Linked DNA regions of Nothobranchius furzeri. The protein of the gene in region 6 interacts with the protein of the main gene of each other region in a pairwise test. Links are inferred from orthologs where the notes say so. Each region holds a gene or a part of one and is shown on either strand. Other genes may lie near its edges.

Region 1 (3,500 bases), on a different chromosome or scaffold from region 6:
CTGGATCTGGGTGCTGCTGGATAGAACTGCTGGAATGAAATTTAAAGCGGAGCGGACTCATTATATCCGACAATTTAGATGCAGTCCGATATAATCCGATAGTGTTTTTGGGCCGATATCAAATTAATCCTGATATCGATATCGGAACGGGACATCCCTAATTGATACATTCTTTTTAACATCAACTCAGTATCACAACATGAAATATAGCAATATTTCTGTGTGTCAATATTTTATTACATCCTCATTGCTTGATAATGTTTTGTCACCACTTGTTACAGTTGATTCTCAGTTATTATCAATAGTTTAAATTTAAAAGTTCATTCCAATAAGAGGTGCAAAGAAATGAAAAGTACTGGAATAAAATTCAGGGGAAAAAAGGCCAGTGCAGCCCTGAAAACAAACTTGGACACCCCGCCGCCGCCCCCATGCTGAGAGCAGAGCCTTGGAATTATTAAGTATAGAATATTTTCATGTTGTCATTGAGATAAATAACTCTGATAATGCATTATTTTTCTAAATAGTTATATTTTTAAATGAAATGAAAAGCTGTTGTATCTACAATAAAGATTCTGTGTCATTCTTGTTGTTTTATCTTTATTATTATATTGCAATTGAAATACTTGATAGCAATGTTTTTAGAGTCGTCTTACAAATGCGCCTCTAACAGAGCCCGCCCCCCCCCCCCCCCCAGTTTTAGTCTAGAACCTCCCCTGCTCAGGAAGACATACTGATCGTTTAATCAAGACGTGAAATACGTACCGACTGGTGTGTCTTGGCAGTGATGGTGCGAACAGCGTCTGTGTCCCAGATGACCAAGTCGGCATCAGAGCCCACAGCAATCCGACCCTTCCGAGGGTACAGGTTCAGGATCTTAGCAGCGTTAGTGCTGGTGACAGCTACAAACATGTTCTCATCCATTTTACCCGTGGTCTAAAAGGAGAAGTCATACAAAATACGTAAAGAACCAGATCTGTTACACAGAACCATGATATTGTTAAAAATACAATTTTATGTATATCTTAGGGGTTCTATGGGCAAGCATTGTCAAGACACACGTGTATGTGGGAGTACAGCTAGAAACAAGACCTGAATAAACCCATAAAAATGTTTAAATTTAAATCAGTAAACACATTTTTCTTAAAAGAAAAAAATTATTCTCTTGCAAGTTTCCCTAATCCAAAGACAGAGACCTAAAATTTGATTTAATCAGCAAAACGTTCCTTGAGTATTTGATTATTTTTGGGAGATGTCTTCTATTAGGTCCATTTAGTTTAAAAGTCACATTTAGCCGCGTGAAAGTGGCTATAAAAACCCACACCCGCAGCCGCCAGTCCAACTTTAGAACTTGGATCCTAAGCAGCTGTTCTCAGGAAACGTCTACTCACATTTTAAAGCCAGCACTGAATTCCAGAGAGGCTGAAATTTAGCCAGATACTGATGCACAGACGACATCAAAATGAAAGAAAAATCATTGGTTTAATGCTGCATAAAGAATAGAAAAAAAATAGATGCTATAGGGAAATTTTAAATGGTGAAAAAAAGGAAGTTGAGTTAAAGAGTAAAAAGAGAATAATGTATATATTTTTTTCTTTTTATTAATGAAAACCACTCAAGAGAGATTTGATAGTCAATGAAAATGACAGAACAAACAGTCCAGATGTAGAGTTTGAGGAGAGAAAAAACAGTCAAAGAGAACAAAAGCTATTGTGTCTGCTTTTGATCTTCCCTCACACAAAGTAAAAAGCTCAACTGGTGCTCACCACAGCTTTATCCCAGATGAGCGACATCCTTTCCTCCACTCCATTGACACCCTCTGGGATCTGAGTGAAGTCGTCCTTTCCGATGGCCTTCTGAGCCACGCTGAAGGTGCAATGAGCGCTGCCAGTTACACTCAGGTCTCCACTAGGAGGAGAGGACACATGACGATGGAATTAAACCAGCACAACAAAATCTGTTTACTCGAGTCGAGCTTTGCAAACACACAAAAATCTGTTTATTTACTTTGGCAGAATAAGGAAGCAGCGTGCCAAAGTGTTCTCTACTAATGATGCTTCCTGCTTCCATATGGTACTCATCTTTTACAAAACAAAACCCATTAGTTATAAACTTAAACATGCTAATTTTACTTTTGTTTTAAGCAGAAAGATGGAATTTTAATTAAAGTAAAAGATAATTTGCACTAGCCAGCAATTATGCAATAATTTAGCATTTATTACAAAAAATTCAATCCAAAGAGCTCAGTTTCTCATGCAGCATGGACTTTATTACTAAATAGCCTGCTTCTAGCAATGCTGACCTCAGAAACTATTCTCTCCTTGCTTGTTCTTATGCAACCTTTTCAAACTGCACACTTAAACCATGCACAGTAAACCTCCCAAACCGGAGGGAGTTGCTGTGGTGTTCACCTTGCCAGCAGTGTGTTGAGATAGTCCGGAGTGGTGGGGTCGGGACTAAGAGGAGGTGATGTAACAAAATAAGCTGCTTTGGCCCAGTTCTTGCTCCAGTAATGTGTCCCGTCAGTCCCCAGGCTGGCTGCAATGGGCTCCCCAAACACCACATTTCCTGAGAAAGAAGAAAAACAATAAATATAATGTTTAAAACTCCAGATGTGCAGAATGACCTTTTTTCCAGAGGGCTGAGACCTAACTCAAAAATTTAACAAATTAATTTTATAAACATAATGATATGCAAATGCACCAACATTATTAATAAACCATTTTTGAATTACCCTGCACTACTGTGTTGCCAAATCCTCTTTAAGAAATCAGCTATTGGCTGTGTAAACATTGCGAAATGACATCAACACATAATTTACAGAAGTGTAGGTCATCATAATGGACGCAGTAGAGGAGACATTGAGTCCCTCCCATGCGGGGGGCCTTTCTGGTTGCAGTCCCCTTGGGGTTCCTGTGTTCTGGGGCAGTGCCTGGATCTCTGGGACTTGGAGCTCCCCCCGTCTCCTACGCATCTTTGGGGGCAGATCTGTGGTCCCTCACACTCTCTATTGAACGCTCCTATAGAGAAACCTTACATAAACAAGCGCGTGTACACACACAGGTGCTCACGTGGTGCTCTCAAAAGTATGGGCTTGGGCACGTTCAACACTTGTCTCAAGGCTGTCGTTGCCACTAAATGCACTGTGATTTATTATCGTGTGATTGTTCAGTTAAACAATGTTGATTTTATATTTCATCATCACGTTGACGCAGTGATAGTTTGCTCCTGATGTATTGTTGTGTGTCCCATTTCTTTTCTGCTCTTCTTTTTCTGCAGGTCTAGAAGCAGACTCTTGTTCATTATTGTTTATTTTTGTGGAACCCCCCACCACACCACCATTTGTCTTTTCCTTTCTCTTTCACCTCTGTCTCCATGTCTAGTCGGAATTACAAAGCATTCAAAAACAATAACAATAACGTTTTAAGTATCAGACGTGACATTTAAAGCAGACGCTTTGATGCTCCACCTGAGAATAAATCTGTAAGGCTTGTTACCAGCAT
Region 2 (3,500 bases), on a different chromosome or scaffold from region 6:
TTCATGTTCTACCGAGGCGTGCGTTCTCTGTTAGCCGTTTAACTAGCTGAGCAAGGATATACGGGAGGTGTCTTGTAGCCTAGCCTTGGTCAACAATTCCCCAGAATACACCACGATAATTTCAAAAGGATGGATCAGAAGCTGGCAGCTACTTCGGGGACAATTTTCAAGTTTAAAAGCAAGTCAGCTAATTTAAAATGTTTTTTTCAGATCCAAAGAAGTTATCTATGGTTGGTTAGTTGCTTAGTAGTTGCAGCTTCGGTGGCTAGCGGGTAGTAACTCACTTATATTTTTAATTTAATTAACATGTACACAATTTAAAAAGTAAAAGGCTCGTTATATATTTATATTGAAACTAATACAGTGATCCCTCGCTACTTCGCGGTTCGTTTATCGTGGATTCACGACTTCGCGGATTTTTTCTTTGGAGCCTTATTCAAGGGAAATTCGCCGATTCGCGGTGTTTTTCTATGCGAAATATCAAGAAATTCCTGTTTTTTTTTTTCATCAATTTCATCATAAAATGCACTTTTTGTAATAAAACTATAAAAAAACAAGTAAAAATACAGTACTATGTAAAGGGAGGGTTTCAAAAGTCTGAATACTGAATACGTACCTGTTAAATAAATACTGTAAATATGGTGTCCCTACTTCGCGGATTTTCACCTATTGCGGCCAGGTCTGGAACGCATCTACCGCCATACACGAGGGATCACTGTACATATAAAATATAACATTATCTCCCGTGTCACGTGATGTTACGTCACCGCCGTGGAAGCCGCGGTCACTTGATGCAAGTCTGTTCCATTTTACCGTTTTCTTTGACCTAGGAAGGACAGTGTCCTCGTACGCAAAGCGCCTGGCCTCGCGAGGCCAGGCGTCTTGACATTGAGAAACACCCAGCGATGAGAAGGTCCTCCTCAGTATGATTCATCTGTTGGCTGATTAGTTTAAACATTCATTAGGATGCTTTGGTTTTCTCACCAGTTTTCGACCAGCACCAACAAACTGGCTGAGAAGGTTCGCCTGAGTCTGAAGTACGAGGAGGCCAAGAGGAGGTAACAACACTTTAACTCAGTCAGGAGATCCTGATTTAGCTGGGACGTCGTTGGTTTGTTTAGATAAACGTGTGTGTACCAGTAGAACTGCTTCAGATGTTCTGAAAGCCTCAGCTTCCTGTCTGTAAGTGGGAAGTCTGGACCGTGATCCAGCTGCTGCCAGAGCAGCTGTGGCTACGCTGTAGCTCATCATCACCAGCGTGTGGATGTGTTGCAAAGCACCTTGGGGGGTTGTAGAACCCTAGAAGGCGCTACGTGAATACAAGCCATGTATCATTTATAGTGAGCGGGAAGTCCTAAGTGGGGAAGTCTATGAAGCACAAGATGGATCTGAAACCGGCAACGAGTCCCGCAGATATCGGGCAGTTCCTCGGATACTGGACCGTGGAAAGTTCGTCCAAGAATCTGCTTGGAGAATGGAGCTAAAGTGACCCGGGTCCATCCAGAACCCTGATGTTTCAGACTCAATAGTTTGATCCCATGCTGGACTGGTGGAAGATGTGAGGCTGGAATATTTAGATCCTCTGGAACTTTCACATAAAATAATCTTTTCTGCCTTCACAGGACCCGTTTTCTTAAATGTTTGATCTGAAGTTGATCCGTTTGGTCTTCCCTTCTGCTGTGGAGCCAGCTATAAACCAGGGTGCTCAGCTTTAACCATAGCGTCCTCACCTTCTCCTTCCAGGATCGCCAACATTGAAGTTCAGATCGCCAGACTGGACAGCGAGGCGTGGCCGGGGCTGCTGGACCCGGAGCGGGACCGACTCATCCTCATCAACGAGAAGGAGGAGCTGCTGAAGGAGCTGCAGTACGTCAGCCCCCGGAAGCGCCTGGAGCCCAACGACGCCGAGAAGCTGGAGACGGAGAAGAAACGTCTGGAGAGAGACCTGCAGGCGGCCAGAGACAACCAGAGCAAAGCTCTGACCGAGAGGTGCTTCAGATCGGAGCTTTTGTCTACAGAAAGGTTTTTATGGGTTTAGCTGCAGGGGGATCAGAGAGCTGTGAGATGAATAACTCGGATCAGATCAGCTGGTGAGACCTCTGACCCTTGGATACTCCTGTCTCGTTTTCCTCCATCAGGTCTCCCTGTCCACACACACACACACACACACTCACACACACCCCTCTAACAGGACCGTTGTTGTTCGAGCTCCAGGTCAGACTTTACCTGAGCCCCGTCTCTCTTTGTGTCTCGTCTCCTGTTCCTGAAACCCGAGATGCCGCTAAGCCTCGACACAAGGACCTCTTGTAGCGCACACACACACACACACACACACACACACACACACACACACACACACACACACACACACACACACACACACACACACACACACACACACACACTGAGTCTGCAGCTCTGGAAATGCAACATTCTTTTCTTTTACCGAGTTTCAGAGAAGACGAGAAACCAGACGCAGTTAGCCCCCCCCCCCCCACACACACACACACACAACAGAAACTAACAGTTCGTCTTTGATAATTTCGCACCGTCCAGGTTTGTTCTGCTGCTTTTAGAAAACATTGAAGCTAATTATTCATGTCGGGTTGATAAACGATGGATTCTTCCTTGTTTTGGGTCAAATCTCTAAACCAGCTGGCCGTTTTCTTCCGTCCCTTTGAGTTTCTTTGTTATGTTGTTTTGTTTTTGTGTTCTTAATAATTCACAGACTAGCAAACTTTGTAGTTTTACTTTTTACTGACAGTTTCGGCTCTCACTGGCGCCTTCCTCGGAGTGGTGGTGATGTCACTTCCTTGCTGTTTCATCAATGGGCAGTCGCCCTCTACTTTCCACTTCCTGTTTGTCGATGACCATGTCCCATATGTGATCCACTCTCCTCCATCTCTGTCCACGTCTCCTTTAATCCGTCGTTGCTGACTTTGGCCAATATAGAAAAACTTGTATATATCGGTCTGCCTCTAGTTTTCTGGTTATTTTATTAAACTCCGCTCCCTTCTGTGATTTCAGGCTGCGGCTTCACTGTAAGAGGAACAAGCTGGTGAGAGAGCTGGAGGAGACGGTCCGCCTGGCCACGACGCTGCATACGCAGCTCAAGAGGTCCGTACTCGTCTCCACCAGGAAAGATGGAGTCAAACAACAGCAGCTTCTAAAGCGTAGTGCAGGAAGTTGGACTTTTAGCAGCACGAGCATCAGTCAGTCGGAAAGATTGGGTTGTGTTTGTGAGGAGGTTCTGACGCCTGCTGCTGCTCTGGGTTCGTTCGGCTCAGACGTTTTCTGAGGAAGTAAAAAGCCTGGATTGCTCGTGGGATTTGTGACGTACTGATGTGGTTCTGAGACTGTAGTTTCTTGACTAGTTCCATAAATGAAATGGATGAAAAAATAAACACAAGTAGATAAAAAGCATCATTTACTGGATGCTTGCTCAGATAAAGCTTTAACTGTTAAACCACCGCTTTTATCTTTAGTATCTGAATAACGGA
Region 3 (4,018 bases), on a different chromosome or scaffold from region 6:
TACCAGAAAGACGAACTCTCATCTGTGTGCTGATTTATCTGGGCGGTGTAATTAATGTTCTCTAACACTTCACACAATCATTTTTTGTCTATAAGCACAGGAAACATTTAGGATTTGCATCTCATGCTGGAAACAGAAGATTTCATGTTAAATAACGAAGACTAAATGAATGAGTCATGGTTTAAATAAACAGAATAAAACTAAAACTCCCGTCTCCATGGCAACACATTGAAATTTGCTGCTGAAAGTTACAAAATAGAAACATCTCCTTAAAGAAAACTGTTTGCTTTTGCTGATGATGTCATTGTTTTGCAGAAGAAGAGTTGGTGCAGATTTTTTAGGAGAAAATAGTTATTGAATGTTTAGATCATTTGTGCTAAAATGACGCTTTACAGCAGGGGGTGCCCAATCCTGGTCCTAGGGGGCCGGTATCCAGCACGTTTTGGTTTTAACCCTGCTTCAACACACCTGTTTTCAATCAGCAGGTGATTAGTAGGCTTCTGCCATTCAAAGCGGCTCACTAAATTATAATGTCTAATACAAATTACAGTAAAAGAATAAGACAAACATTCAATCCTAAATCTGCAGGGATTTGGTTTATTCCTTGGAAAGGTCTCTGCTGTTGCAAAATGGTGACATTTGAATTTGTGCACGGCGCCTTACAGGTAACCAAACTATTGCAGGAGTTGGCAGATGGATGAAGGATCAGAGGATTCGTTACCAAAAAAACACTCAACTCCTAACTAATAAATCACCACGACAACTCGTCTTCACAATAAAAATATGTACTTCCATTTTCTTTGGTAGTAGAATATACTCTTCTCGTGTGGAATTAACACATCAACCAAGCACCAAACTATGCAGCTGACAGAAATTTTGATATATGAAACTTCTAGAAAATATAAACATCCAAACCATGGATATTTTGTGAAACTGAAGAATCCAACAGATCTGATGGTTTTGCTCTACGTTAATAAAAACTAACAGTTTTAGGTCTGGATTTATTGGCCTTCAGTGATTTAGTCTGCTGAAGTTTCTCACGATTATTATCTCAAGGTTCTTTTATTGTTTAGTCTGGGCCGAATCAAAACAAACAAAGCTGGTTTAGATGTAAACGACTTTATTTTTTCATCTTTTAATCACATTTTATGGTTTATTATTGTCCACCGTCACCTTCACGCCCACCATCACCACCTGTTTCGATGGTAACAAGAAAAACACAGAAGCAGCAGCTTCTTCATTCCAAACCACCACATTTATGTAATCACCAGATCAATGTTTAATGATTTTCAGGTCAAGTTGAGTTAATATTTTGTTTGAACAACTTTCATTTTTAAGGTTATTCAATTTAACTGCAGGCTTAAAACCCACTGCGGAAGAACAGACATCATAAAACACAAAGAGCTCATGATTTATTTGATGATAAATCTCTGGTAAAGCATTTTTCATTTTGTCCTAAACATTTAGATTTTAAATATCAGTTGTGGAAACAGCAATGTGAAAATATGGCAAACTGTAGTGGGTGGAAAGAACAAAACGTGCGTCAGAGGAGAGAAAACAGCAGAGAAAGTCAGACAAGGTAGGAGTCGGACGGCGTTGTTTGCAGAGCCACAGCTGCAGGGATTCTGGTTACACAACTGAAATACCAACACTCCTCCAGATGTTGCAGCACCCTCCACCCACTGCACTACAGATGGACTTCTTAATAGTTTGTAAAAAGACAAGATTGCAAAGATTGTTTTTCTTTTCCATAATAACCAGTTATCGTTATTATTATTATTATTACTACTACTACTACTATTATTAATAATAAACTTTCATCCTAAAGAAAATTTAAGCCTGCAGAACATCTCCTTTGGAATTTAAGAGACTCCTAAGCCTATTTTAATGTTTTCACATCCTGCATGAAGCAATTAAACATAATATATTGTTTTTGCTGTATTTTAATATTTAGGATGAATGTTTTTGATGTTTGCATTTAAAATCAAAACACCTTCATCCTACGGAGATATAAGGTTATAATTAAGGTTCATGTAAGGTGAGAACGACTAATCTTTTCTGCAAATGGGACGCTTACACGTGTGGCCCCATTTCCACCTTATTTTAAGTGTTTGGGGATTTGTGCACCCAGAAGGAACTTTTTTTAAACAGCCATGCAGAAAATCAAGGTCATCTTTAAATGAACACAAATAAATCATGTATAAAAACTTTAAGTTCTGTCAGCGGGATCATAAATTAACAGCATACATTGATGCTGTTTACAATGTCTGTTAGATAATAAAAAAAAACTGACAAATTTATTGTTTTGGTTGAATTTTCTTTTCTTATTTTGCAGTGTTTATGCTGATGTCTGTAAGGTAAACCAACCAAAGAGTGACGTCATCTAAACTAATCCAGTTGCTTTTAATCAGGTCACACCCGTGGGTAAGCAAAACAAACACCAGTCATGCATGTTTGCACCATAAATCAACAGCAGAGACCTAAATAATAGATTTTTAAAGATTCTACTTACAAAATGTTATTCTTATTACAATTATCATTTGACAATAAAACAGTATCTGAAGCGGTTTGAACTCGAAAAAGCATCATTTATCTTAATGCGCATCCCTTTGGTGCAAAAGATTAAAAAAGAAAGAAAGTTCCTGAGACTCACCTCTGAATTTCCTGGATCTGAAGCCACACCAGTGCCGCTGCTGCCGGTATTTATGTTCAGCAGGAGGCTAACGGGAACGGTGCAGGGAGGCTGCAGCATCAACGGCGTCCCAGCGACGTAACAACACACCAACTTCCTGCCTGACCCTTCAGAATAAAACTAACAGGAACGTTTAGTCGAGTTGAACACAAACAAAACGAAAGACATATTTAGTGTTTGAAATTCATGGCAAACATATAACACGAGGATTTATTGAAATAGAATGACATTTAAAGGTAATGCTACAGATAGCTGGTTGTTAGCTGATAAGCACACTGCTCCTAAAATGTTTTAATGAGATACACAAAAATATGTATTTGTCTCAGTGAGATTTAATGTATTGTTTGATTTTATTATATTTAGAAAAATGGAAGCGATAACAGATCATTTTGTCTACAATACATCTTTTTTGCTAAAATAAGCTATGCTACTAGGTTACTTTTTAATCTCACATTACTGTTAAATCTTTTATTTCTTCCATAATTTTCACATTTGTGTCACTGAATAAGAGCGGACTTCAAACAGAACAAGGTTTAAGCTCCAGTGAGATTATGTTACTTGTTCAAATTTACCTTCTTTTACACAAATGTGGAGTAAAAAAACAAACATTTATTTTGAAATGCAACCATGTTTTCGGTGACTGCAGCGTTTATTTCCGGTGACTTGATGGCCGTGACGCATGACGACCTTTCCAGAAGTTTTCAGATTTATCGGCAGAGCTGAACGCTGCTGAGCAGGGAGACAAACATCTGATTCACAGACTGTGACTCATCTAAAATGTCTGATGTTTCCAACCACAACACAACCACCACTTTGAAACCAGGATGAGCAACATGGAGCTTTGTAATGCAACAACAAGCAGCATTCTTTACACTGATGACACATTAAATGATTGTTTAATATTTGGTAAGATGCTTTCGTGAAAATAACATTTTCCTCCATTGCTCAACTCTGCTCAGAGCAGAAACTATAACTTGCAGGTCACCAGACAAACACAAAGAAGCAAAAAAGGTAAACAATCCTGCAGACTCATTAGTTCAAAATCCCCAATTAACACGACCTACATAGTTTTTGGCAGGAAGTTGCAGGAAAACATGAAAAATGCAGTTCAACCCAACACACCACAGTGTTGCCTAGTTGTATTTATCCAAGCTAAATATTTCTGAAACTACCTTGAATGAATTCTGCATAAAAAACTAAATTTATACCTAAAGTGTTGTTTTTTAGTTGGTGAACTAAACAATAATTCATATTAATTACATTAAAATTTCTTTCAAACTAATCTGAAAGCAAACATGAACAAAAACTCACTGGCCACTTTATTGA
Region 4 (3,968 bases), on a different chromosome or scaffold from region 6:
ACCACCAACACAGGCAAGTTGGGTGAAGTGTCTTGCCCAAGGACACAACAGCAGAATACCCCTGGCAGGAGCTGGAATCAAACCCACGGTGCCAGGCTGGAATTACTCCTGTTCTGACCCAGCTGCACTGGCTTCCGGTGCGCTACCGCATTTAGTTTAAAATTTTACTTCTCGGTTTTAAGTCACTCTATCTTTATGCGCCTCTCTACTTGACTCAGCTGGTTCAGCCTTACGTACCTGGTCGAATTCTTCAATCAGCAGACCACCGCCTGTTACAGGTCCCAAGTGTTCGGGTGAGGATGTGAGGAGAGCGAGCGTTCTCAATCTGTGCGCCTCGTCTCTGGAACCAACTCCCCCTAGCAGTGAGAATGCCCCCCCCCCCCCCCCCTCTGATTTTAAATCACGTCTGAAGGCTCATTTTTATTCCTTAGCTTCTACTTCAGCCTAGTTGCCATTTTACGATGTTTTTTTATTTTTATTGTTTTTATAGTAGTTACTGTACTACTTTTTATTACTTCTTCCCGTGGGTTGATTTTATGCTTTTACTGTACAGCACTTTGGTTGGCCTCGGCCATGTGAAAATGTGCTTTATAAATAAAATGGAATGGAATGTTATCACATGACTCGAGGTTGTACTGCTTCTTACAGGAACATGAATGTCGCCAACCTACACAAAGATGCATCACTCAGTGACCTATATCCAGTGTCAACAACCAAAACTGCACTTCAACAATATGATAAATAATAATAATAATAATAGAGTTGAACATTTCTTAACCTCGATATATTTAGGCTGGAAAATTATTGAGTTCATTTTCATCGATCGTACGATCAATTGATTTACTGATTGTCGTCCCAGCCCTACAGACAACGATACATTTTTGATTCATCGCCCAGCTCTAGTTGGAAGGATTATTAGCTGCTAAACATACCAGTGTGATGGACAGTTTAACAAACCATTTGAAATTGCAATTTAATTCATGTATAATTGAAGAATTAATTGTTATTGAATGAATTAAATAACTTATCCGATAGTGGCACACTTGTCAATATTTCTGTAGCTTTCAAAGAAAACATAAAAGACTACAAGACAAATGCGTAACTGGAAACAATAGTCTAGCAATGCCTGCGCACAGATTTTACTTTGCTTTTGTCTGGTGAGATTCAGAATGCTCTTGCCTGGTGCTGAACAACAGATGACTGACAGCTCACTCTTCATCATTCATTTCACTCAAAGCAATCCTCCCATCGTCTTTGCTACTGATTGTAAGAGAAAGGCACAAACGTTGCACTGAAAATGTCATTTTGTACCCACTAAGTATCACTCAAATCAAGTGTTGCAACATCATTTTGATTAGTTTAAAAAAAGACCGCCCTCATCATATTCTTCTTTCATTCAAGCTAAACCTTCAAGGCCTCATAATTATTATAAACTATTATCAAAGTAATATTGCCCTGGATTTATTTATTTATTTATTTTGCTGCATGTGAGGACATGGTGGCATAACACGGTGCCAGAAAAGCAGCAGCCATACCAGCCTGAAGCAATGAGGAGCCTTTATACTTCCAAAAATAACAGCTGAGGAGATGGTCTTTTATATGATCTGAAACTGGGCTAAGAAAACCTCTGAAGAGCATTCCCTGCAGCATCAGAATGGAAACCCTTGTTTTTTTCCCGTCTAAAATAATAATAATAATAATAATGCATTTATTTGAACTTATATATCGCTTTTCTAGACACCCAAAGACGCGTAAGTCTATAGTATAATAGTAGATCATTCAATCATTATCTGAAATAGTCATTCCTCAGTAGGATCGTAGGGGCATCTAACAGATAATTCAACATCTAAATTCTCAAAATACAAGAGCAACAATTTTGTAATCTTATAGGTTGAGATATGCTATGCAAGCTGTGATCACAAGGCTGTGACACACTTTTTGACTCAGCCACATCTTGAAAACCACATTTTATTTATTTGTGTAATAAAGATGCATCAAATTATACAGCTGACATGAAATGTATCTGTCCTATTGACCTGAGGAACTCCAGATTTAGTCACCGACATAAGATGTTAAACAGTTCATTCTTTTTGTATAAACGAGTTGCAGTCCCTTAAGAAAATGTGCGTTACTCTGACATGTTTGTCCGTAATCCTTGCTGTTAAGGTCAAGGTAACGTCAAGAATGTGATGCGGTGCCTCTTTTCCTGCTAGTGAGGATATGCCCTGTAAATCCAGTTACACCAGCCTGTCAGAGTCGCTTTAGGCGGCGCTTATAAGCCCTAAATAACGATGCGACGGCTCGAGCTGTGGCTGTTTAACCTAGCATCGCCTGCCTACACGCCAGGCAGAGGAAAGCACATATGAGAAATGTTTATAATGCAGCATGACAAAGAAACCATGGTTAGCAGTAGCATTGCTAGCCCCCCTCCTCAGCTGTCAAAGCAGGGCGCATGACAGCTGAGAGGGGTGAATGAAGGGGAGGGGGGTTAAAAACAGCTGACAGACATAATAAACGCAGGAAACAAGCTCTCGACAGCTAACTGTTACAAGTTTAGAGCAGAAGTGGTAATGTTTAAAATCATACCTTAGCTTTGCCGGCCTCGAGCTTCTTTTGCCTCTCCTCGTCTTCCATTTCCGCTGTCTCTGTGGCAGAAACAAGGGGGACAGAACGTCATACGAAACGTCTGCGACAAAAGTCTCAGAGCTGAAGACTGAAGCGTGTCTCGTTCGGCTTGGCTCGAAATCACTGCCTATCTTGATTGTAGTCCGCCGCCATGTTTTCCACGTAAACATGAGACCCAACTGTGATGACGTAGTGTATGTGCACACGAAGCCGCGCCCACCTGGCATTTCATTGGTGTCGGCTTCACTTGCTGCCGGAAATGTCACCTTTTTCCACTTCCATAGCACAAACCTGTGAGTTACGTTTATAAAAATAAAAAGATCAAAATAATAATAATAATAACAACAACAATGGCCACATTATTTTAGACCTTTGAACCCACCTAGTTTAGATTCTACAAAAAAATATTTTTATAACAAATTTGAGCTATTAACTTTTTTTATTGTTTTATCTAATGTTTAAATTAATCTATTTTAAAAAGGAGAATGTCTATCAGATATTTTTTTATTTAATTTCTTAAAGTGTGTATATATTCAATATTTTAAATATTTTAAGCATTTCTGCAAATGTTTTTTTTTTGTTTGTTTTGTTTGCTCTTTAATCTTACTTACTCTATTTTTTACTCTCCTTTTTGTAAATGTAATTGCTGCAGTGATACCAACATTTTCCACTAAGGAACAATAAAGTGGTTATTCTAATCTATTCTATTCTATTCTATTCTACTCTATTAACATCAAATGGTACATCCTCAGCTCTGTAAATGTTTGTTCTTTCTGAAAACATTTGTTCTTTCTGTCATCATCTCTGCAATCACAATTTCCACATCTTTTTCTACCCATTTATCATCTTGGTTCCTTTCATCTTCACTGCAACCAGCATCACTGTTCGCTGATTAAGACGATAACTTGGCCACCCTCTCGAGGCTTTCCAGCTCGCTTTGCGTTGCAGTTGTGGAAATACCCTTTCCTCAGACTTAAGACTGGGAAACAAATATATAACTGTGCATGGAAAAATCACTCAAGGCATCGACATACAGGCAGTTTGGTAACAATATCATAAACAGATTTGAAAGCTAATTTAATACATTTTCCTGTAATATCTGAAGTCTGAATGATTTTTAATCTGCCCAGTTTCTATGGTAATGGGAAGAGAGGTTGCCAGAGCTGTCCCAGTTGAGTTTTCATTGCAATTCTAAGCTTTTTCATTTTAAAGATGTTTCCTGCTCATAAAGACCTGCCATAGGCCAACAAAGACCCGAAGGCCTGTGCAGAGCAGCTCTGTGGGATTCTGCAGAACCTCTTCAACCTCAGCCTGGCCCAGGAGAAGGTTCCAGTCCTGTGGAA
Region 5 (3,500 bases), on a different chromosome or scaffold from region 6:
ACAATCTATCAGCTGACACCTTTGCCTCATTCTTCACTGACAAAGTGGCAGCTATAAGCAAACAGTTTACTCAACTGGCCACTCCTGAACATTCGCTACCACAAACTCCTTCTAGCCCAACCATCTCAAGCCCTACTGCTTCATTTTCCTCTTTTTCCCCTCTCACTGAGAACTGTGTGTCCAAGCTTCTCACGTGCAGCCGCCCTACTACATGCCCACTGGACCCCATTCCGACTAAGCGGGTCCAAGCTATTGCTCCTACAGTAGCCGCAGCAGTCACACGTGATCAACGCTTCACTGACATCCGGTACATTTGCCACCTCTCTCATTCAGGTTAAACCGCTGCTAAAAAAACATCTCTTCCTCCAAATCATGTGGAGAACTACCGACCTATCTCTCTCCTCCCTTTTCTGTCCAAAATCATTGAAAGGGTGGCTTTCAAGCAGATCACAGAATACCTCTCACAAAACTGTCTGCTTGACCCTTACCAATCTGGGTTCAAAAAGGGCCACTCCACTGAAACTGCTCTGTTAGCAGTGACGGATTCCTTAAAAGAAGCTAGAGCGACTGTCAAATCCTGAGTGCTTATCCTGCTCGACTTATCGGCTGCATTTGACACTGTTAACCATGGCTTCCTTTTGTCCACACTCTCTAGCATGGGCATCACAGAGAAAGCACATGCCTGGTTTGAATCGTACCTCACAGGATGATCATTCAGTGTATCTTGGCTTGGACAATCCTCTACCGTGCACCATCTTGCCACAGGAGTCCCCAGGGCTCTGTACTAGGACCTTTTCTCTTTACCATATACACCACCTAATTGGGTGAGATCATTCGATCACATAGCTTCTCCTGCCACTGCTATGCCGATAACACCCAGCTCTATCTGTCATTTCCACCGGACGACCACGCTGTCTCTGCATGAATATCAAACTCTGACATATCAAAATGGATGAAATCCCACCATCTCCAACTCAACCTCTCTAAAACTGAACTACTTGTCATCCCAGCAAAACCATCCATACAGCACAATATCTCAATCCAGAATGACTTCCTATCTCTGGCTCCTTCAAAGGCAGTTCGAAATCTGGGTGTTGAGATTGATGAACACCTGACCTTTAAAGATCATGTTGCCTCTGTTGCTCGTTCATGCCGCTTTGCACTGTATTACATACGAAAGATCAGACCATACCTAACACAACATGCCACCCAGCTCCTGGTGCAATCTACTGTCATCTCCCGCCTCGATTACTGCAATGCCCTTCTAACTGGTCTTCCAGCCTGTACTGTGAGACCTCTTCAAATGGTCCAGAATGCAGCAGCGCGTCTGGTCTTCAATCAGCTAAAAAGAGCACACGTCACCCCTCTGTTCATTGAGCTCCACTGGCTACCGCTAGCAGCACACATCAAATTCAAATTGCTAACACTAGCATACAAAGTCTGAGATGGTACGGCTTCCATCTACCTGAATCCTCTTGCAAAGGCTTACGTCTCGGCCCGGCCGCTCCGGTCATCACAGGATCGTTGGCTAGCAGTGGCTACACCACGCTCAGGACAATCCAGACTCTTCTCATGCATCGTTCCACAAATGTGGAATGACCTACCAAGCACTACCAGAACAGGGTCTTCCTTTTCGATTTTCAAGAAACTCCTGAAGACCCTGCTCTTCAGAGAGCATCTTCTAAACTAGCACCCTCCCTGCACCTGTCCCCCCCTCTCTACTGTCCACTCCTTGTTCCCTCCTCTCCATGATTCATCATGCTGCCTCACTGCCACCTACGACTGACTGGAAATTGTTTGTTGTTGTTGTTGTTGTTATTGTTGTTAGCCTCAAGGGCAACATGCCGATTATCACTTGTACGTCGCTTTGGACAAAAGCGTCTGCTAAATACATAAACATAACATTTAAAACGAAATTTAAAAATGTCTGTTTCATTTATTTATTATTTGAGTCATCAGAACTCCAACTTGGTGTCTTTAACTGTATAATGTTGAAAAACACTTCACTCACCCACTTAAAGGTGTGGAACACTGGAAGCCCATTTTGTCATAAAGCAGTTTTAATTTCTTTGTTTTTCTTTTTTTAAGGTTGCTTTGTTAAAGAAGCGAGTTAAGGGGGTTTCTACAGATGGGTCGCTCCCTGCTGAAGGTGACGTTCTCCAGTCTGGGGAAGCTCAAGGTTCTACATCTGTAATGCAGAGTCCGTCGAAAGAGGAAGGACTGGAGCCAGAGAGCACCGAGGGCAAGAAATGTTTTTATCTGCTCATATGTGAATCAACTTAAAAGTGAAAGTGTGTCTTTTTGTTCTACGGAGCTAAAGATTTTATTTTACAACAATTGCATTTTAATTTTCTGAACAGGAGAGGGCAACAGTGATCCAACCAAACTCATGGAGGCTCTACAGAAGAGGGTGAAGAGGCAAGAGAACCTGCTGCAGAAGTGCAAAGAAGTGATGCGTACGCACAAGGAGCGGAGCACACAGCTGAGCAGTGAGAACGAAACTCTGCAGGAGCAGTTGCAGGAGCGCCTGCAGGAGCTGGAGAAGATGAAGGTTCACACTCTTTATTTTAACTACAATAACACAGAATCAGTGCCGAGTTCTTTAGTGAGATAAACAAATCTATAAATTTTGGGGCTCGTAGGCATCATTTCTTCATCAGTATTTTAAAAAGAATAGCCCAAATATTTCAAATTCTTCTCTTCGGGCTGGACGTACGGAGGAATTTAATGATGCAGTAAACTAGTTATGAAGAGGTTTGATTAAACGGAGGCAGGGCTGAGATGCTGCTAATGACTGAGCAGTGTTTGGGCTAATTAATGTGCTGAAGAGTATCTGCCAGAGTCTTTATGGTCCACTGATGATGTGAGTCCATTATCTGTGTGACAGAAGATTGCTATGTGGTTCTCCGTCTCCAGATATCCACATTCCTTGGCCCGGCTCCACAGTGAGGGGTTCATGTCATGTCGGCTTGACATAACTGAACCATTGCTGTCATTGAATTCAAAACATTTAGCTTCAGTGGTATGTTTGGCTTGTGTAGCATGTCTGTAGCTGTTCTGATGGTTTGCAGCATTTGATGGCAGCTGCTTACAGCTGGGAGGAGACCGTAATAATAGATTTAAAGTCTGGGATTGATGTCGTTTTGCTGTAATTTAGTTCCGTTTGTTTTTTTTTTGTTTAAAGTGTTTTGGAGGAATAAATCCTCTCGCAGTTCTGAGCATCTTCATCTTGAGTTAAAAACTCCTCATGAATGAAGCTTTAATACCTTGAATCACCGTGACAACCAAAAGAAGAAAAAGGTATGGTAAAGATAAGAGCTGCAATTGCACAGAAGGCTGCAGTAGGGCGGGTACTAAAACTTGGTACCGCTTTAGTATTGGTACCAAAAATAATGAACTTTTTCAGTGCTTTCCCTGAAAAATGACCCTGTTCATGAGCTGCACAGCTCCGTTCCTCCTGCTGCTTTCTGTCACATGACTTTGGGTTGCCTCTCTCTCTC
Region 6 (4,066 bases):
TAGTGAGATTTCCTCCAAGGAGGTGTCATTGAAGGAGGTGTCATCGTCTGTCGTTGTCTTATCTGAATGCTACAAGCCTTTGAGCACTTGACACCAGTCTAATATTAATGCATCACATGCTTTTTTGCTGCAGTTTATAAAATTTGTAGCTAACCAGAGTTTAACCCTAACCCACCTACTTATCAGTGCACTGAGTTCAGTTCATTTTTCAAACTGGTTAAACGTTGTCCTATGGGAGGAAATCCAGCAGATTGTGGCAAACATGCAGCAACAGTGGAGAGGAAAACTCCCCTTTAACAGGAAGAAACCTCCAGCAGAACTACAACTGACTAGGGATTTGACAAGGGTTAGGGTTAGAGCAGAAACACGAAAAATAAATGGTCGAACAAGTAGCACCTAATCAACTAGAATGTCACATGCCTATTGAAAGTTGACTTCACCTGAAGCAGTATGTGCTTTCATCAAGTGTATGTTGCAACATTCATGTCAAGCTTGGTTTGCAACAATTACACATGTTCCATACAAACATTAAAGGAGCAATATGTAAGAACTCTGCCTGGAAATAATTTTCTAGGGGTTGCCATGGCCACCCCTTGGGGGCACCCCCTGACTTCATCTTACTTTGTTTCTTCTTTACATTTCAACAAGAAAGCTTCTTATTAAATGTAGATGTTTTAATGAGAAAGTGTCTTGATGATCCTTATTTTTTCCCCTCACTGATGGTGATACGCTTTAATTTCTTTTATTTAAAAATCTAGATGTTTAGTGTGACACAATTGCCAACTTTTGAAACGCTTCATTAAATGAAAAGTTTTTTTTAATTAATACACTAATTCTCCTCACCAGTAGGGGTTCTTAAAATGTCATTTTTGTTCTTCTTTTGTCCTTTTTTTATTAAATAAAAAACAGATCATTTGGAAAACTTCATTTATATTTGACAAAAACAGCTTTGGGCTATTTCATAAACTCATAACGTTAAACTGAAAAAAAGAAACAAGATGAGGCGCTTTTTATTAATAAAGAGCAAAGGTTGACCTGGCAGAGAGAGGAAAGTTACTTTATTGAAAGGGGTTACCGTTTCAGACAAACCCCGCCTTTTTACCGGGCGGGGTTTATGTGAGGAGCCAGTGCGCTTCTCTCCCTTTCCGTATTTACCGGCTTGCAGTCACAGCAGAAAACAGGCAATCCATCCGCCGCAGCGCTTCACCTTCCACATCCCCGCACACATGGAAGTATTGATGCGCTCCATCCTCCGAGCGTGTGCGCTGTAGCTGCGCGCACCCGATCCCCGAGCGCGTCCGGGACTATAGAGAAAAAAACCGAACGTGCTTTTTGTTATTTTCTGTCCACTTGGGATCACTCTAGCAAGAAGAAGAGGGATCCGTGGAGCATCAGAGACCGCACAAATCGGCGGTGGCAGCCGAGTCCGGATAACTGACAGCTCAAGGAGAATTTTTGTGTTCACCATGTACATGCCGAGTGACTCTCCAAGGCGGAAAGTCGACATCGACCTAAATGAATTACAGGTGAGATTTATTTCATTGAAAAAAAAATAGGAACAGAGGTGCCTTATTATTTTCTTGCACCAGAAGATTAGATTAGCCTCTAAATGATAAATAGAATGTCCCAAATTAGGAGGAAAGCTTCTACAGAGGCCAATTTGTTAGGGTCAGAAATGAAATGCAGCTGGTGATGCTGAGTTGATGTCTCCTGCTGATTTTTGCTGACATGGATAGTCAGCGCTTAGGTTGTCTGTTTCTTCTCTAAAGCCGTTTGGAAACTAAAACTACTTTTCTTCTGTCCTATTCAACCTGTGGGCACTGCCTGCTGTCTGCCTGTGCACTCAGAATATCACTTCACTGTGCCAAGATTACAGTGGCATTAAAGATGCCACACATGAGAACCACAATCTTGCCCTCAGTCGTTTATGGTGCATTTGCAAGGCATCACATTTGCTCGGTTGTCCATTTTTATGTTCTTAAAGCCATCATGTCTGCATGAGCTTAGCTGCAGCCTGCATCTCTGTTTTCCATCAGTTTATCGCCTGTTGCCCTTTTCTGCCAGCTTGCAGTGGGGGGTGGTTTAAGTGTCAGGTGAAGAAAAAAAATGTTATTTAACTTAACATGAAAATAGTTTGCAGCTTAAAGGAGCACATACGTGACGAAGCAGTGGAGGAATGAGGAAGAACAAGGAAATGGGGGGAAGTGGCCAGGCACTGGGAGTCAAGGCGTGATGCTATAGGTGTCTCTGAGATTAACAAGAACAAAAAAACAATGCTCGCTTTTCATTTTACAAGCTGAATCTGTTTTGAAAGTTCATCAGTAGAAAATGAGCAGTTACCAGAATATATGAAAAAAACTTGTGTTGGTGCTTTTTGCAGCACATTTCTCCACAATAAATACCAGCAAGGTCCTGAGTGACAAATCCAATTATTCATCCTAAGTAAAAAATAAAAATAAAAAATTCAGTATTAGCCTACAACTTGTAATAAAGTGTTTTACACACAGTCTTATTAGGAACAACGGTTGGCAAAATAATTTGAAGGCATCTAAAAGGTCTCTCCAACATGTTTTTACGAGCCCTGTCATCCAGGATCTGTTCACAAACATAGATGCAGACAATGAGTTCAAGATGAGTGTAGTGTCAACCACTGAGCTGGCTAGACAGGAAGTAGGTCAGCTGTCTCTGACGCATGGAGAGGGGGTGCAGTGACTGGAGGGGGGGAGTTCTGTGTTTACAATACTGATCTTGATGATGGAGCACTGTATGTGTTTTTCAGTCTAAGTGTACATATTTCATAGAGGTGAAGGGGGATAATTTTCTTTTGGGACACATTTAAAGACTTAAAAAGGTAGACAGAGCTAAACAGGAAGTAGAGTGAAGAGGGAAGTGTTTTGTTGTGCTTGCACCTCTGTGCGATATTCTCTATGCTGTCCCCTGTGGCTACGTGCTCCTTGTCAGCTCTCTTTCTTGTCTGCAACATTCACTGCACAGAAAACCCCAGCAGCACCTGTTACAGACGCAGAGTGTTTCGCTTGAGCGAGAAAGTCAATGCTTGTGGTCCAGCGCCACTGTTGTGACTCACAATGACAGCCAAGGTCGAAATGCTGTGATTAAAAAAAAACACGGATATTGTGTTATTTCTGGATGGGGTGAGAGCACGCTGAGGTCAGAGGCATCAGGAGCACTGGCTCATCCAGTCAGCTGATGAGAGCAACAGATGGTAAACCAGCAGGAAGTTCACAACACTGCACACATTGGTGGTGGAGTAATCTGTGCAGGGACTCAGGTGTGAGATCGGATCTGAAAGAGAGGGCAGGTGAAGCTACTGTTGCAGAGAGAGTGATGGGTGCAGAGGGAGAAAAGGATGCAGCTTAGAGAGAGTTGAAAGGTGGAGATGTGACCAGTGACTAAAGTAGAGAAAAGCTGAAACGTCTTCTCCCTCTCTTTCATTGGAAGGCCGCATTCCTCATCCGCTCACCACGAACGTCATAGTAACGGGGCCACAGCAGTGCCCAAGGCTTACACAGAGAGTATTCATGAATAGTCCATATATACTGTATGGCAGTTTGTCACTGAGAAACGGCCCCTCTTCCTCACATCCTCCCTTCCAACGCTGCCAGCATACTTCAAGTTGACCTATTTTCCCCTGTCCAAGACTATGATGGAGCTGCTTAAAGTCTAAATCTATTTAAACGTACAAATGTGTTGGGATTTTTCTAATGGGAAATTTTCATTTCCAAATTTAAATCTATTACCAGCAAGTGCACAGGGACCAGCATGGAAACAAATAACAGTTATAAATTAGAGGCTTTTAATTAACATTCCTTCTATAGTTCAGGGGACACATAGAGAAAACACACGGGCCAAAATACCATAGCACACCTTTTGGCTTTAGATGATAAAAGACATTCTTTGAATCCCTGCAGATCAAAAAGCTAAGAAAGATGGATGGAAATGACCGATGGAGAGTGACGGTTGAAAATTGAGAAAGAAAGAAATGAAGGATGAGTGGAACAGATGGATGGGCTGAAGGGATGACAGGAAGAAATGTGAGATGACAAGG
Region 7 (4,034 bases), on a different chromosome or scaffold from region 6:
CACGTTGGAGGGACTATGTCTCCCACCTGGCCAGGGAATGTCTTGGGATTCCCCCGGAAGAGCTGGCCCAAGTGGGGAGAGGAAAGTCTGGGCCTCTTGACTTAGGCTGCTGCCCCGCGACCCAACTCTGGATAAGCGGAAGAAAATTAATGGATGGATGGATTCTGTATTCTTGCAGGAATTACAAGATAACAACAATCTCCTTTGGTCTATTGTCATTTATGCAGAAACTAACAACAAAATCTCGGAAATTTCCCTTTAAGTGAGGCGTTCTTCTCTCTAGGACTGACATTTCTGATGCCTTCATTCACCGATAGCTCTGAGCGATTTCTGCTACATGAATTTTCCTGTTCCTGTCATGTTCAACTCAGACTATCAAGCTCACAGAAGAGAAATTATGAGCACAACGTTGGCATGTTCTGATCTCCATTATAGATAATCCATCTCTGATGGAGAGAGAGTCAACGCTGTTAGAATTGAAAGTTGTGTGATAATCTGAGCTGTCACTGATCTCGCTCTGTGATATGTGTGCGTGTGCGTGTGAATGTGTGTGTGTGTGTGTGTGTGTGTGTGATTTAAGAAAAAAACATTACTATTCATCATTTGCTGTTTTTTCTTTTTTCTGATTTGCAGCTCCAGACATTCAGTTGTTTCTTTAAAACGAAAAAGAGAAACAAAAACAAGTGTTTGCTCAGCTTCTGTTCTCTTGGTATGTCAAGAACAAATTCCCATTGGGAGCAGGAATTCTTTTCTCTTTGGGGATAGGACTCCCGTTCAAACAGCTTTGTTCCAGCTGGGAACAAAGAATCCCAGGGACATGGGACTGGGACTGTGAGAAGGTCACGGGACTCCCCCATTTGCCCTCCGCTGACACTGTGGGGCAGTGATAATAGAACCAGCAATAAAGTCAAAAGTTTGCCAGTCCTTGAGGCTTTGGGGTGGATTTGACAGAGGAGTGAATTCCCAACAACCCCCACCTTCCTCCACCATTTCCTCTGCATCTCTCAGTGCCACTTTTGTCCCTCGCTTTAAATCACTATTGCTAAGCCCTGGGCTCCACTTGTCAGATGTGGGACACTCTAGTCCACTCTCATATCCAAACTCCACTTCAGTACAGCTCACTAACAAAGCATCCAAGATGTCCTTTAAATTGTTTTGTTTTTTCTTTCTTTAAAAGTCATTATAAATTGGTTCCATAATGAGTCTGCACAGAAGGTGGCATCAGCTACAGCTGATGAGCTTTGGTGCTTCCTCATGAAATGTCAGACCCAGCCCATTCCAACAGGCTGCAAGTGATGATGATATATTTACGTGCAACTATGTGCATGTCCGCTCTAACACACACTGCTGGAACAACTCTGTGCAAAACAGCAAGCAACAGAAAGATAAATCAGTCTGAGATTTACATTCCCTGCATGCATCTCCATCACTTTTGCTTGCAAACAGACCAAAATAAGCATCGCTGATGAGGAATCTGCAACGAGTGGGCTGAGGATGTAAATCCCTCTCACAGCTGTTTGGGGCATTTACAGATCCTCGGATCAAAGGAAGCGGTAATCTGACACTGCTACCAGAGCTGGTGAATGACAAATGAATCACAACAACTTACTCGTTTCCACTTTGTGAGTGACGACAGCTCAGGTTAGTTAAAGCATCACTCTTCCATCGAAGGCCCTTGAACAGTCTGAATCAAACATTTCTTATTCAGAGACAACTTTTCCAACAGGACTCACAAATGCATGACACCAGTCTTTCTAAATCAGCTGTGACTTCATAGAGACTTTCAAACATCTGAGGCTGAACATTTAGTACAGATGGTGAAAAAACCCTGATACCGCTGTATGGTTGGTCCTGCAGTCTCAACACTCATAAAAGCCTGCCTTCCTCTCAACGCTGGTTCTGATCCCAGAACCAGTCAGAGGTGAAATCATTTGCGTGTAATTACTGGATCTTCGCTCCTCTCAGCCTCCCCCGACCACCACAGCACACAAAGGCGTTTAAACCCTCAGTAGATCGTCTAAAAGGGGCGAACCGCTTTCATGTGGTGTTATTTTTGGGGGTAAATTTAGATTAATTATGTTCTGACCCATATTGGGGGGCTGAGTCGATAATCCAAGGCTCAGCAGGTGTTTTGTTTTCTTTTTGGCATATCGATTCTTTTTGTGTTGGCGTGCATCACCGCAACACAATTCAATTTTTGCTCAAATCTGCGTCCGTTGGCACCGAAACCCACCTTTCATCCAGTCCACCACCTGGCTGGGGCTCCACTTGCTCACAGGCTCCATAACCAGTGCCATGGTAGAAGTTTGTCCCCACAAAAGAAGGGAAAAAAGACCAACTCCTGCACTCAAACTGGGATTATCAGTCTAAATAATCCGAAAACGCTCCTAATCACTCCCTACTGCAGATGCGCCCGTTTACAAACAAACTGGGGCAGAATAAAATAAAACAAAACAAAACCAGATGAAATGTCCAAGATGTCGTTGAGTAAAGCCCAGTGAATTCCGACGCAGCTCGGTCCTGAAGAAGCTGTTTTTTTAACTTATCATTCATGTCAGGCTCACGGGCGATGATGCTGCGGGGTCCCTGCTGCCCGAACCCGCTCCCAGAACATACCAATCGCGTCCAGAGCGGCGAACAACGCGCAGACTGTTCACTTCATCCTGCTGTCTGAAGAGGTAGCATTTGCTCTGAGTATCCTCCCACCCTCCCTTTCTCCCCTCCTCTCCCCCAGACGACATGGAGTCACAGCACAGCACCCCCACCCACCACCACCGCCTCAGCCATCACCAGAAAGCGCTCCTGTATGACTGGTGGTTAATGCCACAGGCTTGTGATTTGTTTTCATTTTGATGTATAAAGAGGTTCAGGTTCCTTATAATTAATTTTCTTCGGGGGAATTATTTAAAATAAATTGGTATGAGCTGCATCTTAAAAAGAACACTCAGTGTTTCAATTAAAATGTAATGTACTAGCACAAAAATAATTATAATATTGAATTTGATGCAGTTTTAAAGTCGAATGGCGCAGGAGACATTTAGACGTTAAAGTTTGACCACTGCACGCAGAAAACCTCATAATGAATTAACATTTATATGTCTTCATATTTCACAATGTTTAAAAATAAATATCTGTCATGATCCAGCTCTGCCCGCCCTCATCTCCATGACAACCACAGCCTGCTCTCCTTAGACTCATCTGTCACACCTGCTCCCAGTAATCAAGCTCATGCTACTCACCTGTTTCACCTGCTCTATATACCCAAGCCATGGCACCAACTCCCTGCCAGAAACCGGTTTTGCATTTGTAATACCACATATAAAAGTAGTAGTTAGAGAAAGAACTCCAGATCATTTATCTGTGTACACAGTGGAGATGATAGCTATATTATATATATATATATATAATACAATGCATCTGAAAGGGAAACATCCCACAGGTTTGTGTGGATGTGGGGTGGGGGGGGGGGGGAAACGGTGGAGCATGTTTTATGTAACTGCATAAAATATGAGGAAAGTAGAGGACAACTCAGGGAGAAATTAAAAAACATAGGAGGTGGAGTGATAAATGTAAAGAATTAGTTAAATGATGAAGAAAGGAAATATAGGTTGTAGTGATGTGTCGGTCGCGAACGAACCAGCTCTAAGAGCCGGCTCTTTGAAGTGAACGACGGGAGCCGGCTCGTCATTGGGAGCCGTCCCCTCCCCCCTCCCCTTTTGCTTTGGTGAAAGCCACAGGCGATTGATTGGTCAGCATGTGTAACTGCGTGTCCAGACTGTCCACACACAGAGCAGTAGGGGCGAGGAAGAGGGAGGATCAGACTCAGACACACAGCAGAGCACATGCGGGCGGAGGGAGACGAGAGGGAATGAGGAGGAGGAAAAAGGCGAGAGAGAGAGAGAGGAGAGTGCGACGAAGACGGTGAGAAAATGAGCGCCAGCAGTCGGAAAGTGGAGATTTCTGAAAGTGTTCAGTTATTAAATCCATAGAAATGATAAATATTTGATATATAGCATTTTTTTTACATTAGTAAA

The links.
Region 1: the proteins of tnika (region 6) and dpysl3 interact in a two-hybrid assay, tested with the Homo sapiens proteins (2 studies listed by BioGRID and IntAct). The link is inferred for Nothobranchius furzeri from reciprocal best matches to the Homo sapiens genes TNIK and DPYSL3.
Region 2: the proteins of tnika (region 6) and wwc1 interact in a two-hybrid assay, tested with the Homo sapiens proteins (2 studies listed by BioGRID and IntAct). The link is inferred for Nothobranchius furzeri from reciprocal best matches to the Homo sapiens genes TNIK and WWC1.
Region 3: the proteins of tnika (region 6) and clu interact in a two-hybrid assay, tested with the Homo sapiens proteins (2 studies listed by BioGRID and IntAct). The link is inferred for Nothobranchius furzeri from reciprocal best matches to the Homo sapiens genes TNIK and CLU.
Region 4: the proteins of tnika (region 6) and akap9 interact in a two-hybrid assay, tested with the Homo sapiens proteins (2 studies listed by BioGRID and IntAct). The link is inferred for Nothobranchius furzeri from reciprocal best matches to the Homo sapiens genes TNIK and AKAP9.
Region 5: the proteins of tnika (region 6) and golga4 interact in a two-hybrid assay, tested with the Homo sapiens proteins (2 studies listed by BioGRID and IntAct). The link is inferred for Nothobranchius furzeri from reciprocal best matches to the Homo sapiens genes TNIK and GOLGA4.
Region 7: the proteins of tnika (region 6) and connector enhancer of kinase suppressor of ras 2 interact in a two-hybrid assay, tested with the Homo sapiens proteins (2 studies listed by BioGRID and IntAct). The link is inferred for Nothobranchius furzeri from reciprocal best matches to the Homo sapiens genes TNIK and CNKSR2.

Annotation. Positions count from the first base shown.
Region 1 is NC_091750.1:58,232,483-58,235,982, forward strand, and holds part of dpysl3 (dihydropyrimidinase-related protein 3), read right to left. Parts: intron 2,566-3,500; coding exon 2,409-2,565; intron 1,906-2,408; coding exon 1,764-1,905; intron 934-1,763; coding exon 763-933; intron 1-762.
Region 2 is NC_091750.1:71,325,306-71,328,805, forward strand, and holds part of wwc1 (protein KIBRA), read left to right. Parts: intron 1-987; coding exon 988-1,058; intron 1,059-1,743; coding exon 1,744-1,989; intron 1,990-3,027; coding exon 3,028-3,117; intron 3,118-3,500. UniProt on the Homo sapiens protein: Regulator of the Hippo signaling pathway, also known as the Salvador-Warts-Hippo (SWH) pathway.
Region 3 is NC_091742.1:12,226,408-12,230,425, forward strand, and holds the start of clu (clusterin), read right to left. Parts: upstream 2,801-4,018; 5' UTR 2,654-2,800; intron 1-2,653.
Region 4 is NC_091759.1:4,646,294-4,650,261, forward strand, and holds the start of akap9 (A-kinase anchor protein 9), read right to left. Parts: upstream 2,801-3,968; 5' UTR 2,635-2,800; coding exon 2,587-2,634; intron 1-2,586. UniProt on the Homo sapiens protein: Scaffolding protein that assembles several protein kinases and phosphatases on the centrosome and Golgi apparatus. Required to maintain the integrity of the Golgi apparatus. Required for microtubule nucleation at the cis-side of the Golgi apparatus.
Region 5 is NC_091752.1:16,187,216-16,190,715, reverse strand, and holds part of golga4 (golgin subfamily A member 4), read left to right. Parts: intron 1-2,088; coding exon 2,089-2,242; intron 2,243-2,360; coding exon 2,361-2,551; intron 2,552-3,500. UniProt on the Homo sapiens protein: Involved in vesicular trafficking at the Golgi apparatus level. May play a role in delivery of transport vesicles containing GPI-linked proteins from the trans-Golgi network through its interaction with MACF1. Involved in endosome-to-Golgi trafficking.
Region 6 is NC_091758.1:22,641,741-22,645,806, forward strand, and holds the start of tnika (TRAF2 and NCK interacting kinase a), read left to right. Parts: upstream 1-1,266; 5' UTR 1,267-1,466; coding exon 1,467-1,526; intron 1,527-4,066. UniProt on the Homo sapiens protein: Serine/threonine kinase that acts as an essential activator of the Wnt signaling pathway. Recruited to promoters of Wnt target genes and required to activate their expression. May act by phosphorylating TCF4/TCF7L2.
Region 7 is NC_091750.1:48,216,412-48,220,445, forward strand, and holds the start of connector enhancer of kinase suppressor of ras 2, read right to left. Parts: upstream 2,801-4,034; 5' UTR 2,298-2,800; coding exon 2,234-2,297; intron 1-2,233.